Lytechinus pictus: one gene and its partner. Each later gene encodes a partner of the first gene's protein in a complex. Links are inferred from orthologs where the notes say so. Each region holds a gene or a part of one and is shown on either strand. Other genes may lie near its edges.

Region 1 (7,602 bases):
TGCATTTTTATTTCAATCATGGCGAAAAGTCTATCACAGAAACTTAAAATGAATAACCAAATCCAACCAATCATTATCGATTGGGCAGTGTTGTTTTTCTAGAAAAATAAATGAATAAGTAAAATTTTATCTTTGTGATCACTGGATATCATGCGCACTAGCATTATTTGATTTGTCAAGTATCTATTCTCTTCGTGTATTCCATAAAGTTCTCAAAATATCCCTTTTCAGGTCTGATTGTCAGCGCTGTGCGCTCGCATTTTGATTGGCGAGTTTTGTACGTCTATATTAATTTCGTGGGGAGGGGGGCTTCGCGGGATAGCCGCATATGGTTATTATCATTGTTGCTGTCATCTTAATCATCATCATCATCACATCATTAACCCTAGTACTTGTATACTACTACTACTACTACTACTACTACTACTACTACTACTACTACTACTACTACTATACTACTACTACCACTACTACTACTACTATTATATTATTACTACTATTACTACTACTATATATTTCTAATACTACTACCACTTATACTACTACTACACCATTAGCATTGTCATCACCACCAAATCTCAAATAATTTTATGACCGTCATCTTGATGATATACTGCTTCAGTGTACACTAATATTTTAGTCTCCTTTGACGACATCCATGCACCATGCATGCTTGAAGCTTCTAATGGTTTTGAATATTGAAGGGGTTTTAATTTTACGATAACACTGTCTGTATATTGAAGTGCCTTTTAAGGTGCGTCTCCTGGAACAAAAGTTAGCAACCACACGAATAATATTTCAAAACTCCTTTCTACCTTACAAAATTCGTGACTAGCTAGTTCGATTTGATGGCAATTTTAGCGTCATATAATGTCATTAGGAGAACCTTTTTTGTAGAAACTTCAAGGATGCCATGCACTTAGCGAAATTGAGCAAGAAAAAAAAACATCTGGTTTGGAATTAATTGTACACTTTTCACTATTCTTTTGGCGTTTTTTTTTTTTTTTTTTTTTTTGGGGGGGGGGGGGGGGGGACTCCATCAGCATGGATACTGCACGTAGCCCTCACCCCCTTCCCCCTCAGATATGCAAGTGGTAACAACATAGAGTAAAAGAAACATATTGCTGAAAAGAAAGATTTTGAATAGTCTTTAAGATTATATTGGAAGATGATGCAACATTCAAAATTTGGAATGAAATTAATATTTGAAATATATATCAAATTGTTATGGAATTAATGTGATTTTAAGTCTCCTATAAACGGATGAAATTGTAAGGTTTTTTTTTTAAAAATCGGTGTCCTAACTTGCCTCCGTGTTTCATAAACGACATTGATTTGGTTAGTCAGCAGTAACTCATCGTACACTTAACTTAAGTATAGAGTATGCCTGTATTTTTGTATAAATTATCCCCCGCTTCCAAATATGCTAGACTGGTATGACTTCCCCAACATTCACGCCAGTGTATTCAAAGGATGTTTTGATTGGTTTATGATCAGTTATAACCATATCAAAAAATCATTTGAATCATAAAATTCATATGCATATATACTCTCATGATGCAGGGGATATAACATTTGCAATATGCTAAACGTATGGATTTGTCATGGCCAAAATATTGTAAGATTAGATTGAGCGCGGGAGCATAGCAACCGCGCGAGAAATTGGCATTTTTAGAATGCAAAACTGGGCAAATAAGCACTTTGGTCACATTTAAAGATGAATCCACACATTAACAGTAGTATTAATCACTTGATGATTTAAAAAAAAAAAATCGTTTCTGTTTTGAAAAGTGGGGAGGGGGAAGACTGTGACTGCATGCCACCCCCTCTCCGGAATGTGGGGGTTGTATCCCCATCACCCCCCCCCCCCCGGGGATTTACGCCCGTGGAATATACAAAAAGGCTTGTGTTTTTCATCAGGAGGTGGCTCAAGGTTTGGGCAGTATAGTGCATAATATGATTATAGCGTACACTATGGTGGGCAACATATACTGTCCACTGTGTTGGGTAATGTATGTTGGTAAATATATATATATATATTCTGGGCAATTATTATCCAATTGAGCAATTTATTACCCAATTGTTAGTTTTTATTACCCAATTTGGACAGATTTTAACCAATAGTTGTGTGGACAGTATGTTGCCCAGTGATGGTTAAAAATTGGGCCTTGTTTTGCCCAACATTTTTAAGAGTATATTTGGTGATGAACGTCTTTTTATCTTTTTATGACTCGATCGCCATCTATATTATCTCCAAACAAGCGAATAGATTGACGCCCATGCAACAAAGTAATAAACAAAATCGAAGCTTAATTACATCCTTAAAGGTAACAGGATGGCTTTTTCAAATATCGTATTAAATATAATTTCAAATCGTGAATGTTTGTGGATTTTAGCACAACATAATTTTCATCCAACTCTAATGTTATTCAAACATAAGTTACTGTGTAAATTAATAGTTAAAATAGTTAGTTGTAATGAACATTCTTACCAACACCCCAGAGCGGCAAATAAAAGTGACTGATAAACTCCCACTCGGTGTCGATCTAAAGTTATTGTCACGGCGGTTGTATCAACATTTTGCACATTGCTCAGTTATATATACAGCCACATCAAAAATTTAGTTTATCACATGATCACCAAGAAAATATTTCACAACACAACCAAGCACCAATGGTAGGATGTTTTCCAATCTACTTAATACACGGTTAATAAAAATCATCCTCTTTACATAGCTTAATATGATTTTCTTTACAATGACGCACGCTTAACTCGTGGCGTATATACGTTGAACTGACATTATTATTATATTACCCACGCTCAAAAACATCCACGACAGAGAAGAAAGGTTAAAAATCATGATGATATGGTATCGTGAATTATAAGAAAGAACTGTATTGGCCCCAAAAAACAATATAGGAGATTCATTTTGTCATAATTGGGGGTTATCCAAATACGATATTTTTCAACAGAGTCAAAATTCGGATAGGGGTGCGCAGTAAATAATATTGAAGCCCAGTTGGGGTACAGGCTTTAATTTGCCAAAACTGTTATTCGAGCACTGAATCTTCAAGGGCGTAGGCTGGTTTGAGCATAGTGAGGTGGAACCGGGGGGGGGGGGGGGACTAAAGGTTGGAAATTCAGCTGTTGAAAGCAGAAGGGGTAAAACAATTGTTTTGCTTGCCAGTGTCGGAACTCCTCTGCCTCAGAGGGAGAGTGCTCGACCACCCAATGCACTCCAGCCTACGCCCTTAATCTTTAATTTAGAGCAATGTTTCTTTTATCTTTTCTAGGAGGATAGTTAAAGTGGTTTTGAGATGTACATAGTAGAAATGCCGTTTTGTCACTGCCCCAAATCACTATAATAGAGTCAAAGTAGGGGTAGGATACCTTCGACAGGCCGGCCCGGCTCCTGTCACGTTAGGCTGTGAGCCAGCTGTGAGATACCAAAACTTATTTCCATGTAACCTGCATATAGCAATATCTCCTTCAAGTTTTTCAAGAGGTTTTATAAAAATTATAAAAAGTTGCTTTACTTATCCAAGCCACTGGCGGACTTTGAGAAGCAAAATTATTTTTTTTAATCTAAAAATGGCATTAAAACAAAAGTGTGCCCCCCCCCCTTCGAAAGTGAAGGCCTTTTTTTTTTTTTTTTTTTTTTTTTTTGCTTGTAAAAATTTTTCGGCGACGAAATATCATTAAGTTTTAGTGGTTAAAAACCCCCTTTTCTTTTGCGTATAACAAATTTTCCCTCGAGAAAATGTGACCCCCCCCCCTTTTGGAAAATGCTGGATCTGCCCCTGATCCAAGCTATGTTCTTGAATTGTATACCAACGATCTCGTTGGTTTCATTGGTGTGACTACAACGAAAAGGTTGATCAATTATTGGGGGTTCATTTTAGCACAATAACGAGTAATAAGGGGTCTACTGACGCATTTGCCCTCCATCTAAGCAATTTATATACTGTTATGTCATGAAGCGTGTCAATATGAATCTCGTTTGTCGAAAACTGATTGTCCATTCGGTTGCTGATGTTCATGATAAAACAAATAACAAAGTTTTGACCAAAAACATGGACATTTTGGCTCAAATTTTCCCCTTTTTATCGAAATCTATCACCTGACTGTTAAGAAAACTATTTAAAACAATTTATACTTTCAAAATCATAGCGAAACTTAATTCATTTACAATATTTCCACAGTCTGGCCTGGGTAAAAAAATGAAAATCAATCCAAGATGGCTTGAAAACTACAAATTTTGAACCCACCGTGGGACAAGGCAAGGAAACATCAAAATTCATTAACTAAACACTTCAAAAATTCGTTAAAAAATACGTTCTCCGATACAGGCGATTGTGCATCTCCCGGGGCATCTCCGACTCTTGTCTGCAATACCAAAGCTGGCTCTGGCCTGGCCCAGTCGAGTCTGGGTTGTTATTTTTTCCATGTACCTTTTTCATTTGAGGATACTGTACCCATTCGTAAATTGAGAGTTCTGTTCGAGAAGACAGCATGTGAAACTCTGTGATTTTCCACAAATTTAAAGGAATCTGTTAACATATGGAGAGGGGGAAACTGCCCCCTAAGAAGCCCCCGATTCGGCGAGGTAATAAATATCGTACAATTATACAGAAATCGTCTATTTTATGTTATTTATTTGTCATTTTATATCCTGATTTATTGAACTACCGTCGTGGGCAACGCGTGCGTGGACGTGGTAAAGCGGGAACAATGAAGATGCACTGCATTAGCAGCGGGTGTACCGTCCACGTCCAAGAGGCAAGAGATCTAAAGTAAAACCGAGAAGTGCGGCGCGAATCAGTGCTGTAGCGATGCCAAACCGGCCGCGCGTTTGCATCGGTATGCTCTGCCCCCGTGTAAAACATGGTCTCAGAAAACTCTTTTCCAGTCTTTAAATATTCATTCAGTAACACTCTGACCCACAAATATCCGCAGATTATCAAATTAAAATACGAAATTCTCACTTTACATTCTGATTTGAGGTTAGAATCGCCAGATATTTTGCACTTGAAATGTGTCATTGAAACCTGCCTGATCGGACGATGCGCGCGACCATTTTGAATCGCAGAAGCCCGAAGTGGAAAGTACTGCTCCTGTCATAATCATGTGACACACAAGATTTTGACTTACACCAGTGTTTGTGGCAAATTGAATCGTTAGCTTAGTACTTTTGCTCTGAAATTATGTCTAAAAAATCCGATTTTTTTTTTTTTGCATTTTGATATCATGATAATGATATGTTGAGATTTTGTTGATATGGTGATTTGATGATGACATGAATGTTTTGACCCCTTTATCGTACCCCTACACATGAAAAACCAAAAAAATCCCAGCATCATAAGATTCTTTGAATTCTAAGCTTTGTAATGATGCCAAACTTGTTACCAATTAGTAAACCGCGAAATACCGCCAGCGGGAAAGACTGGGGCTTGCACTGTCCTCAATCTGGAAAATTTAGGGTCAATGCGGATACTGTAGTTTGTTGAGTAGGGGTGATTGGTTTTTGGTGATTATGTAACAGATATTGATGGACCTTTGTTGCCCTTTTAAATCCTGATTATGGCCCAAGACCCCATCTTTTTTTTGCCCAATTTACTATAGATCTTTGTTTACCCCTTCCATAATTTGCCCCAGGCCCCTGCGTGGCATTACAACCCGCCCCCTCACCCATAATTGCCATTACTCACCCGACCCAATTTTTTTTTCTTGGGGGGGGGGGGCCCTATGTTACACGTACCCCAAACATTACTGGCCCTTGCCCCGACCCCATTTTTTTGGCTACCTTTACTCGTCCAACCTCACCGGTCCATGCCCCCCCATCCCGACCTAATTTTTTTTTTCTAGCTACCTTTCAGTCGTCCAACATTACTGGCCCCTCCCCCTATCATGACCTTATTTTTTTTTAGCTACCTTGACCTTTGTCCAACCCTACCGGCCCCTGGCATAAATTTTTTGAGGGTAATAATGGATGCAGCTGGGCAAGTACCTCTGCTCTTGACTTGTTAATTACATATTTATCTCATTTGCATATTTACTATTTTTTGTAGAAGATAATATTCTATGAATTTGTTCTTGTGCAATTGAACATCATATCATTGATTATACTTGTATCCAATTTATTTGTAATGAAATGGACCATACACAAGAACAAACATCATTGTAAAATATACAATATGTATACTACATGTATATTGCGTCATCTCATTTGCATATGCATTTAAATTTGCATATTTTAATACATGTATCTTGTTTGAATTATATATTATACTAGTTTTTAATCAAGGAATGGGCCACTTGACATATTGTTGGTGGTTAATTACATCATACATGTAGTTTGAATAGAAATATTTTTAACATACATGTAGGTTTACAATATGCGTATCATTGCATCACACCCTCATTTACATATAGGATCTTTGGCATTTTAAATTTGCATATTTAACTATATGAAACACTGTTTTTTTAATAGTTTATATTGGTTTAATCAAAGAATGGGCCAATTGACATTTTGGTGGTTAATTGCCTCAAAATCACTAGCATGGGTGAAATTACAAAGGCAAATACACATTCCGCATGAGCAAGAGACATTTTTAATGATATGCGTGCATATTTAATTAGATATTTGCCTTATTTGCATAAATTAAGAAAAAACGTAGTCTTATTGCGAAGAGCAGGTCACAAGCTTCAAAATGAATGGTCACAACATATGTAAACAGTAAATATTTTAAATGATGTGGCATCGCTATCAGTGGAGCACTGCCACTCTCCATAGCTCAAACGTCAAAGTATTCTTAAAACGATCGTATCAGATCTCTTTTCTTATTGTGTATCATTTCTCTATGAGAAAGGAACACAAGTTGAGTTATGCTCCAGCTGGAGCTTAAATTCAAGTCAAGTGAATTGAAAGAAGGAAGAAATGAAAAGAATTAAAAAAGGATAAAAATAACTTTATTTCTCCCTTCTTGACTTACTATTAAGAACCAATAAAAGAATGAAGAAAGAAAAGGAGAAAAAATAAATAAACAAGTGAATGAATCTAAGGGAAAAAAAGAATGGAAAAAAAATTAAAAGAAGGCAGAAAAAATGAAAGAAAGAAATAAAGACAGAGAGATAGAAAACTGGAAAAAAGAAAGAAAGAAAAATAGAGACAAAAAAATATATGCAAGAAAAAGTAAAAGAAGGGAAAAAAACTAAAAAAGGAAAGTAAAATAAAGAATGATTGAAACTGAAAGTAAATGAAGGCAGAAGAATTAAAAGAAGGAAGAGGGATAGAGTAAGTATGGTGGTGTTTAATTGATAAGTACCCCCTCCCCATTCTGGCTGGTGCTGCCACCCCACCCCACTACTCTAGAGTGTAACTTGCTCAAACGTGAAAGTTGCTTGTTAAGAAAGCTTTTTTAATGTTCATTTTGCTTTGTAACTAGGCCTACCGTTGCCCGACAAGATCATCCCCCTGGGGAGTAAAGGCCGCCCTGAACAGGATCAAAAGCCCACCCCTTCAGTCTATCCTGACCGCAAGAGGGAGGCCAGCGCACCCCTGCCGAGCCATGTGATACCCCCCAAGACCAAGCTGGTAGGCTT
Region 2 (7,783 bases), on another chromosome or scaffold:
ATATTAAACCCACACAAGTATCTGATTGAGTGTAGAAGAAACTCAATGGCCCAAATTCACAAAGGTGGTTTTGAAAACCCATGGTTGAGTCCATGGTTTATGCATTATTTTACCGTGTATATTAAAAAATGTCAAATGCTGATGCGCGCTTTTGTCACAGTGCGCCAAATTGATGCCTGTTGCCGTGGTTATCCACGCTATTTTATTCATGAGTCCACTCTTCAAACAGTGGACTCATGAATAAAATAGTGTATCTAACAATGTTAACAGGCGTCAATTGGCGCACTGTGACAAAAGCGCGCATCAGCATCGGACATTTTTTTTAACACGCTAAATTAAGCGTAATTTATACAGGAAATCTGCATAAGCCATGGATTCAACCATGGGTTTTAAAAACCACCTTTTTGAATTCGGGCCAATGAGAGCTTCAAAGAATGAGAACACTAGGTCTGAAGTTTGGGATTCACTCAAGCATGAGATGTGCACATTGTGCAATTTAAGTGAAACTTCCAAGCAGTCCGAAGAATAAATGGTGTCAAAGAAAGCTAAGAAACTCTTGTATCTCGTCTTATTTACTTGTGCAAAAGGAGAATTACTCTTTCAGAGAGAAGTTAATTCTGAAATTTCAACATTTTGAAGAACAAATTGTTTTTACTGAGAACCTTTCCTGGCCACGTATTAATGGTTTGGGGGTGTGTGGCTGATCACAATTGTTTGAGAACCAAGGTTTCGTTACAAAAAATCCTGGCACTTGGCCACCAGGCAACTTTGAAAACAGCTTTAATACCTGGCCATAGTTGTCAATTCCAGAGTAGAGACGGTTGACATTCAGAAGGTCAAAGGTCATCTTGAGGGCATGACCCAAGTTTGTGAGACCGGTGGCCTGAAGGTTCTTCAGCTCAGTCATGAAGACTGCAGGATTCTCCTTCCAGCCAGCCTAAATTATCATAAAAATAACATTAAAAATCATTAGGTGTAAATAATTGCCCATGCCTGCATTGAAAGGGAAAGTTTAGCCTGACAAAAAGTTTATTGCAAAAATAGAAGAAAAGAATAAAAATAAAAAAAATATTGGCAAAGGTTTGAGAAAAATCCACCTAAGATTAATATTACAATTTTTTGGGATTTGGGACATCGTAGTATGCAAGGCTTTGCAAGCAGCTTCCCCATTTAAAATGTAATAAAAGAAAAATCTATGAAATGTCATTTTCTAAAAAAAAAAGAGAAAAAGAATGAAAATGTTTTTGGAATTTCTGTATATCACCAAATAAATTATTTCTGGGATAGCGTTGAAGCTGCTGAAATGGATTACTCTTCAAGGTTCACACCCAATCCTGATGGAATTAAAAAAAACAGTAATCATGAACCATTATTTAAAAAAAGGAGCAAAATTACGCATTTTATAGCAAATAACGTATTGGGCTCCTGCTTTTATGATTTCACAAATAAAAAACTTAAAAATTCTAATATTTTTCTTATAAATCTTCGGATTTCCCTCAAACCCTTTACCAGTATTTATTTTTTCTGCTTTTTTACAATAAACTTTCGTCAGGGTGAACTTCCCCTATTTCAGGATCTTAAATTCTATATTTAAAAAAAAATGTCTTTCCTTCATGGTTCGATCAGTGGTGAAGAAAACTATTATAGCTATTACTCCTAACATTAGGGCTTATTCCCACTTACCATATCGATGCGCCCCCACACAAATAAAATCACTTTCAATTTGAGAAAAAAATCACACAAAAAAACATAACTTTGTCATTTTTTTCACAATCCTTCACCATTATTTTTATCTCTTTCTTTTGCTCTCAAAAGTTATAAATAAAATCAACTTTTTGAAAAGAACATGCATACCATACGTACCCTATGGCTATGCCATGGCTCTAACTTCTAAGACTATGACTATGGTTGAATGTTGATTGTGTTGATAGATTGATTCTCAAATGTTTGGGATTTTTGTCACATTTGGCTACCCATACATGTAAATAAAACCACAACTAAAAGTGAAAAACTAACACAAATTTATTTATTGATCATATTAATATATATAGAAACTTTTAAACATTACCTCAAAACATTTCTGTTCAATTCTTCTTAATTTATTTTATAATTTCCTAAAAAGCGCCTTGAGCACTCTACAGAGTGGATTTGGCGCGATATAAGTCTAATTATTATTATTATTAAATATTATTATATGGCAGGTATACTCATTGAATCCACAAGTGTCTGCATGCATTGTCTCATTAATGTCTGCTAACTTCAGCTCAGCTCATGAATATTGATCGTTGTTGATCTTTTATGATCGATATCCTGACGTGACCCACAATTTTAGTCTGAAACAAGATGGACGTTTGTGTGGAGGAAGTACATCTGGTGCTAAGTTTCATGCAATATTTTGCGAATCTACCACCCAGAACGACATGAACCCAACATTATTTCGTGGGGGAAGTGTTGAAGAATCGCGATCTCGCAAATAAATGACTATAATTTATGACAAACGAGAAAAATCAAGGACCTTATAGTACCTTTATTGTAGCCGGGGACTCATCGCACGTCACCAGCATGTAGCGATCCGTGCGGCTGGCTTGGTCTCGAAGGCGAAGCTAACGTTACAACATGAGAAAAACAAAAGAATTTCACAGTATGAATGTTTAAAATGAACAACAATACATCTAAAAAAAATTAGTATGATCATTTAATAATATCAACAACAGCATCATATATCGTAAGCAACCCAATCTATCATTCTTTCGTAAAAAGAAAGTCACTGAACTTCATAAAAAAAAATCGATCACCCAAAATGCATTGCAGTTTACCTTCATGAATGTCTCGACAGCTCCCTTTGCAATATCCAAGAGTGATGTGCCCAAATGTGTCCTCTGATTCATCGAAGCACTGGTGTCTATTAGAAAAACTAGCACCGGCATCTTGTTCCTTATTAATTTATCTATCTCTCATGCCAAAACTGTGTAGAAATATCGCCTACGAGGCCCAAAATAAGAGATTTGATTCCCTTTCCTCCTTTTTGGCAGCTTCGCGAGAGCTGCCGATTTTAGCAGCAGCGAAAACCCATCGCGCAAAAAATAAATGTACGGAAAATTATCGCAGCGCAGCCCTAGTCACGTGACAACTTGGTGATTGGTCAACGTCATAGAGATGTATACTAGTAACGCTAGAGGGCGTACTTCGTCAAATCGCTGTGATTACGTGGAGACCGTCCGCCATTGCTCGATAGGTATTCGCAGCCTGCCATGAGCGTACAGTACCTATGGGGCATGTACACGGATGAGCACAGAACATGACAAATTGATGACATATGAGCACGAAAGCATATGGAAAAGCAAAATTGTAAATATTGCACTGGATTAAAGTTCAAATACAACAAAAATCTAGCAAAACTGAGGTCAAAAGGCCTATATAGGCCTATCTATAGCGCATAATATAGGCCGATACAGCTATAATACAGGCAAACGATTTAAAGTCCCAATTGTTTTTGCTTAGGTAAAATTTCGATACATTAATATGACTTCTATTTTCTAATGATTTGGAAGAGATGAATATCAAAAATAACATTTAGGCCTAGGTCCTGATAAATAAATTTAATGTGTTTTAATATGATTTGATGTACATTAACCTAAGAAAATTCATAGGCCATATCACAGTGTCTGATGCATCTGAGACGCTGTATCGAAAAAAAAACCACGATTGTATTTTTATAGTTCATAGTTTCACTATTATGCTGATTGCTGATAATTTATTTCTTCACTTTAGATAATTGTTATAATTCATTTTCCATATATATCTACACAATAGGGCCTATAATAACTCGATCCCTTTTCCCCATGTCTTACACGCTGATGTAAACCAACATCACAAAAACTCGCGAATCATAAAATGACTTTTTATTGATATTTGGAAATGATTTACGCATTGATTCAGTTAAAAATTGATGATTTAGATTTCCTTTGCTGGCAACCATCCCATCATATTTATAAATATGTATATAAAAGTATACTTTCTTACTTGCGATCAATGTATAGAAAAGTTTGTTGACAGCAAAATTTGCATATCAAATGCGCGCATGCAGTCGTACAATTTTGCAATGTACAGGAGGCCTAATGGGGGGTTGGATGTTTATGTACAGTGTTATTGCCTTGCAAACATTTTAAAACTTCGGAGAGTAAACAAATCACAATGCGCAAAACAATTTTACTTTGATTTTCTGGAAAGTATAGACTTGATTCTCCCCGGCTGAAAATACGCTGATCGGCAAACTGGCTGAAATATTTTGTTTATCGCCGTTGTTTCTGATCCTATATATAATGATTGGACCAATATCATGTGAACAAATCAAGGATAGAATAATAAGGAGAGGAAGAAGGGGGAGAAGGAGAGAAGAAAAGGGGCGGGATTATGATATATAATTTGTATTATACTATAAAGAATATTATTACTACTGCAAGAGTGTATAAAACTAATATCATGAAAGACATCAATGCAAACTTATCATAATTATGAAAACGGTTGCAAAATTGTGAGTACTAAAACCAAACATAATTATGAAACAATAATATTGCAAAAGTGACAATACTTGGAATAAGATATTAAAAATCCTAATTTAATCTCAAATTTGATACCTGCCTTGAAATTGTGTTAATTAACTGTGTCTGTGTCGCTTGAATAAATGAACTTTATGGCAAATATTTGTAAGCACTGGCACCGGCCTAACATATAAACAGATAAACACGCGTTTTGAATATCCAGTTTTGTTTTTCATTTTAAAAGTATAACTGAATTTGATTTTCTAGTTTTCTTCCTTTAATGTCATTTGCTGGCCTATGGACCTGAGTTTGGTTATTCGATCAGTTTTTTTTAAATAAGATTTCCATGGATGAACAAAATTATTATATTATGTTAATTACGGCGTCGCGGAATGATTTTGAAAGTGATGGGGTGCATAAAATCACAATCATTTATTATGTGTAATGTTCATTTTCATTTCAGGGAGGGGTCCGGTCGCGCCCCCTGTATTTTATTTTGATCAGTATGTTAAAGCGAATTTGCTTAGGTGTGTTTGTTATTTTAATTGCACACACGGCCCCTAAAAAGCGAATTAAAACAAATCTAACTTAAAGTGAAGGGAATTAAAACTGTCATTTTTGAAAAGTTTGAACAAATTAGGCTATATTCTCGACATTTTAAATCAATATTTTATTTTCGGGCCATATAGGCCTGCAGATTTGGGGGAATTTATTATGTTCCTATAAGAACAAAATCAGCACGTTCACCAAATAACACAAATTTCAACATTGATGGTGTAACGGGAGGCTCACCAAGAACAATAATGAGATGCCCTTTAATAGCGCATGTAGATCAAAACACTAACTTATACAGAATTATTGTACAACTTAATATATAAAAATGATAGGCCTATATTTCATACAAATTAAAGCAAGTTACATATCATGTAGGCCTATATAGAAATTACAAAATTATATCCAACATAAACATAGAATCAAAGGACGTAAATGTGGGAAGGATGGAAGGAGGACGATGCAGTTAAAGGTAGGGAAATCCAGAGAAGGGCTAATTCACTGCAGTCTTTTGAATTAATTGTCAATCTTTCTATTAATGTCCGCTGTATGTTTTTATTTTTATATGATTGTTTATATGATAGTATATCAACATTGTTATCTATTACAGGCCTATAAACGGACAGGTAAATGCAAATTATTTAGAATTTCATCCCGAGAAATCAGGTTTTTAAAATGCCAAATTAATAGCATAATCCCCATGTAATCACTCTAATAGTGTATTGAGATGCAATTTGTCATTCATATTTTCGATTTTTATGAGGTTGTGTTCTTTTCTTCAAGAAAAAGGCCGGAGACGGCACCCCTTTTCACAGCGTTACAACGCACGAGCTATGGGTACATCCGGGTACTTTTGCGAATCTATACCTATCGAGCAATGGCCGCCACGCTCCACACAATCACAGACGTTAAGTACGCGCGCCTATGGCGACTCCGCACTCTAGCGTAGTTAGTATACATCTCTATGGTCAACGTCAATCTCTCTAGTTTGCATATGATTACAATAAGAAAAGACGTTACTAAAAATACATGTACTGTACTACCGCAAGCGAAGAAAATAATAAACATCATTGAATTTGCAAGATAGCTTGCTTGACAAAAACAGAACAAGTATACTCGCTACACCCACAGCTGAGCTCGAATTAAGAAAGGGAAGGCCATTAATACTAGTATAGGGAAAGGGAAGGAGGTATGCTCCCTCAGTGCTCCCCTCACGAGGATCGGGGGGGGGGGGGGGGGGGGGGGTCGCGACCTGGCCATTAAAATGGCATATCAATTTTATATACGTAATTAGTATTTTTGTTATGGGACACGTGCACTAGATAACCGTAAGGCAACGTATATTCTTTTCAGGGGCATACAATATTCTTGTTTTGGCGTAAATTCTACCAATAAGCATGAGAAGGGCGGGCCATATATGCATTATAATTATAATACCTTAAATAGGGACCGATATTGCCTATGAATGAGAGAAGATTTAAAAAGGTGCATGGGGGCGTTTGCCCCCTCCCCAATTCAGGAGTGTTCCTCAGTATGTTGCCTCACCGGCCCAGACAATTAAAAAATTGAAAAAAAAATAATAATGCTGCCGCAATACTCAAGCTGTAAAGTGTTCCACTAATAAACAGCATTTTAATTCTAACAATTTTCATCCACCCGCTCTCTCGCCAAGTCAGGCTGTCGTCACTGTCGTTGCAGAGAGCTCGGAAAGTTGTATAATATTAATGTACAAACTGACCACTAGCGTACCTACGGGAAAAATCCTAGGTACGCCACTGAAACTGACCATGTAAAAGTCCAGTCGATGCACCCAAGAAAAATGTCGATTTGAATTAGTAGAGAAAAATCAAACAAGGCAGCGTAATAACGGAAATTTCATCGCCATCGGATGTCTAATAAGAAAGTTATGATATTCTCTGAAGTTTTGCTTATTTTTCAGAAAAAAATTACATGCATTATTCAGTGATATCTAAATCGATGATGTTCCCCACTCACTATTTCTTTGTCAGTTTTTATTGTTTTAAAGATAGATTTAAAGGGCCAACTTGACTGAACCACAAAATGTTAAAACAATGCTATACACTCATTTTCAGAGAGATATAAACCTTTGCTTCACACTGACAATCATGACGGGAGAAGATTAAAATATTACATATTTCATATATAATAAAATACTAAAGAAATAGTGAGTGGGTGATGTCATCCGCCCCCTCATTTGCATACTGACCATGCAGGATGTAATTATAACTGTTTGGATAAATTAAATAAAACTTTAAAATGTCATAACTTTCTTCCGTTTTAAAATGATATCGGAAATTTTCGGTGATTTGCTCGTTTGATTGTTATTTTCTCTGTTTATTCGAATCGAATTTATTGGGGTGGGCTTATCCTTTAACGATTAAAGTGAACAATTTGATTTGTAAACCGTTTTCGTCCGACGGTAATCAGGGCCTGGATTCAGGTAGAGAAAACTGACCCTTTATTTTTTAAAATCCCTCAGACGAGGTGAATGTTTCACGAGTTGAAAAATCAAAGATTGCCCTCTACGACAAAAGTTATTATAATAATAAAAGGTGAAAATTTCACTCGAGCTTCGTCCTCGAATTGCATGTTGAACGAGATAATGATCCGCTCATAAAGGCTTACATTATCCATTTTCATGCCAATGCAGACATTCATTCTAGCTGCTC

Evidence for each region. The genes of interacting proteins can lie anywhere in the genome.
Region 2: integrator complex subunit 1-like (region 1) and integrator complex subunit 6-A-like share a complex: the UniProt entries of both Homo sapiens proteins name them as parts of the integrator complex. The link is inferred for Lytechinus pictus from reciprocal best matches to the Homo sapiens genes INTS1 and INTS6.

Annotation. Positions count from the first base shown.
Region 1 is NC_087254.1:32,366,219-32,373,820, reverse strand, and holds the start of integrator complex subunit 1-like, read left to right. Parts: upstream 1-4,473; 5' UTR 4,474-4,560; coding exon 4,561-4,606; intron 4,607-7,445; coding exon 7,446-7,602. UniProt on the Homo sapiens protein: Component of the integrator complex, a multiprotein complex that terminates RNA polymerase II (Pol II) transcription in the promoter-proximal region of genes.
Region 2 is NC_087260.1:11,488,178-11,495,960, forward strand, and holds the start of integrator complex subunit 6-A-like, read right to left. Parts: upstream 3,107-7,783; 5' UTR 2,928-3,106; coding exon 2,817-2,927; intron 2,604-2,816; coding exon 2,526-2,603; intron 938-2,525; coding exon 788-937; intron 1-787. UniProt on the Homo sapiens protein: Component of the integrator complex, a multiprotein complex that terminates RNA polymerase II (Pol II) transcription in the promoter-proximal region of genes.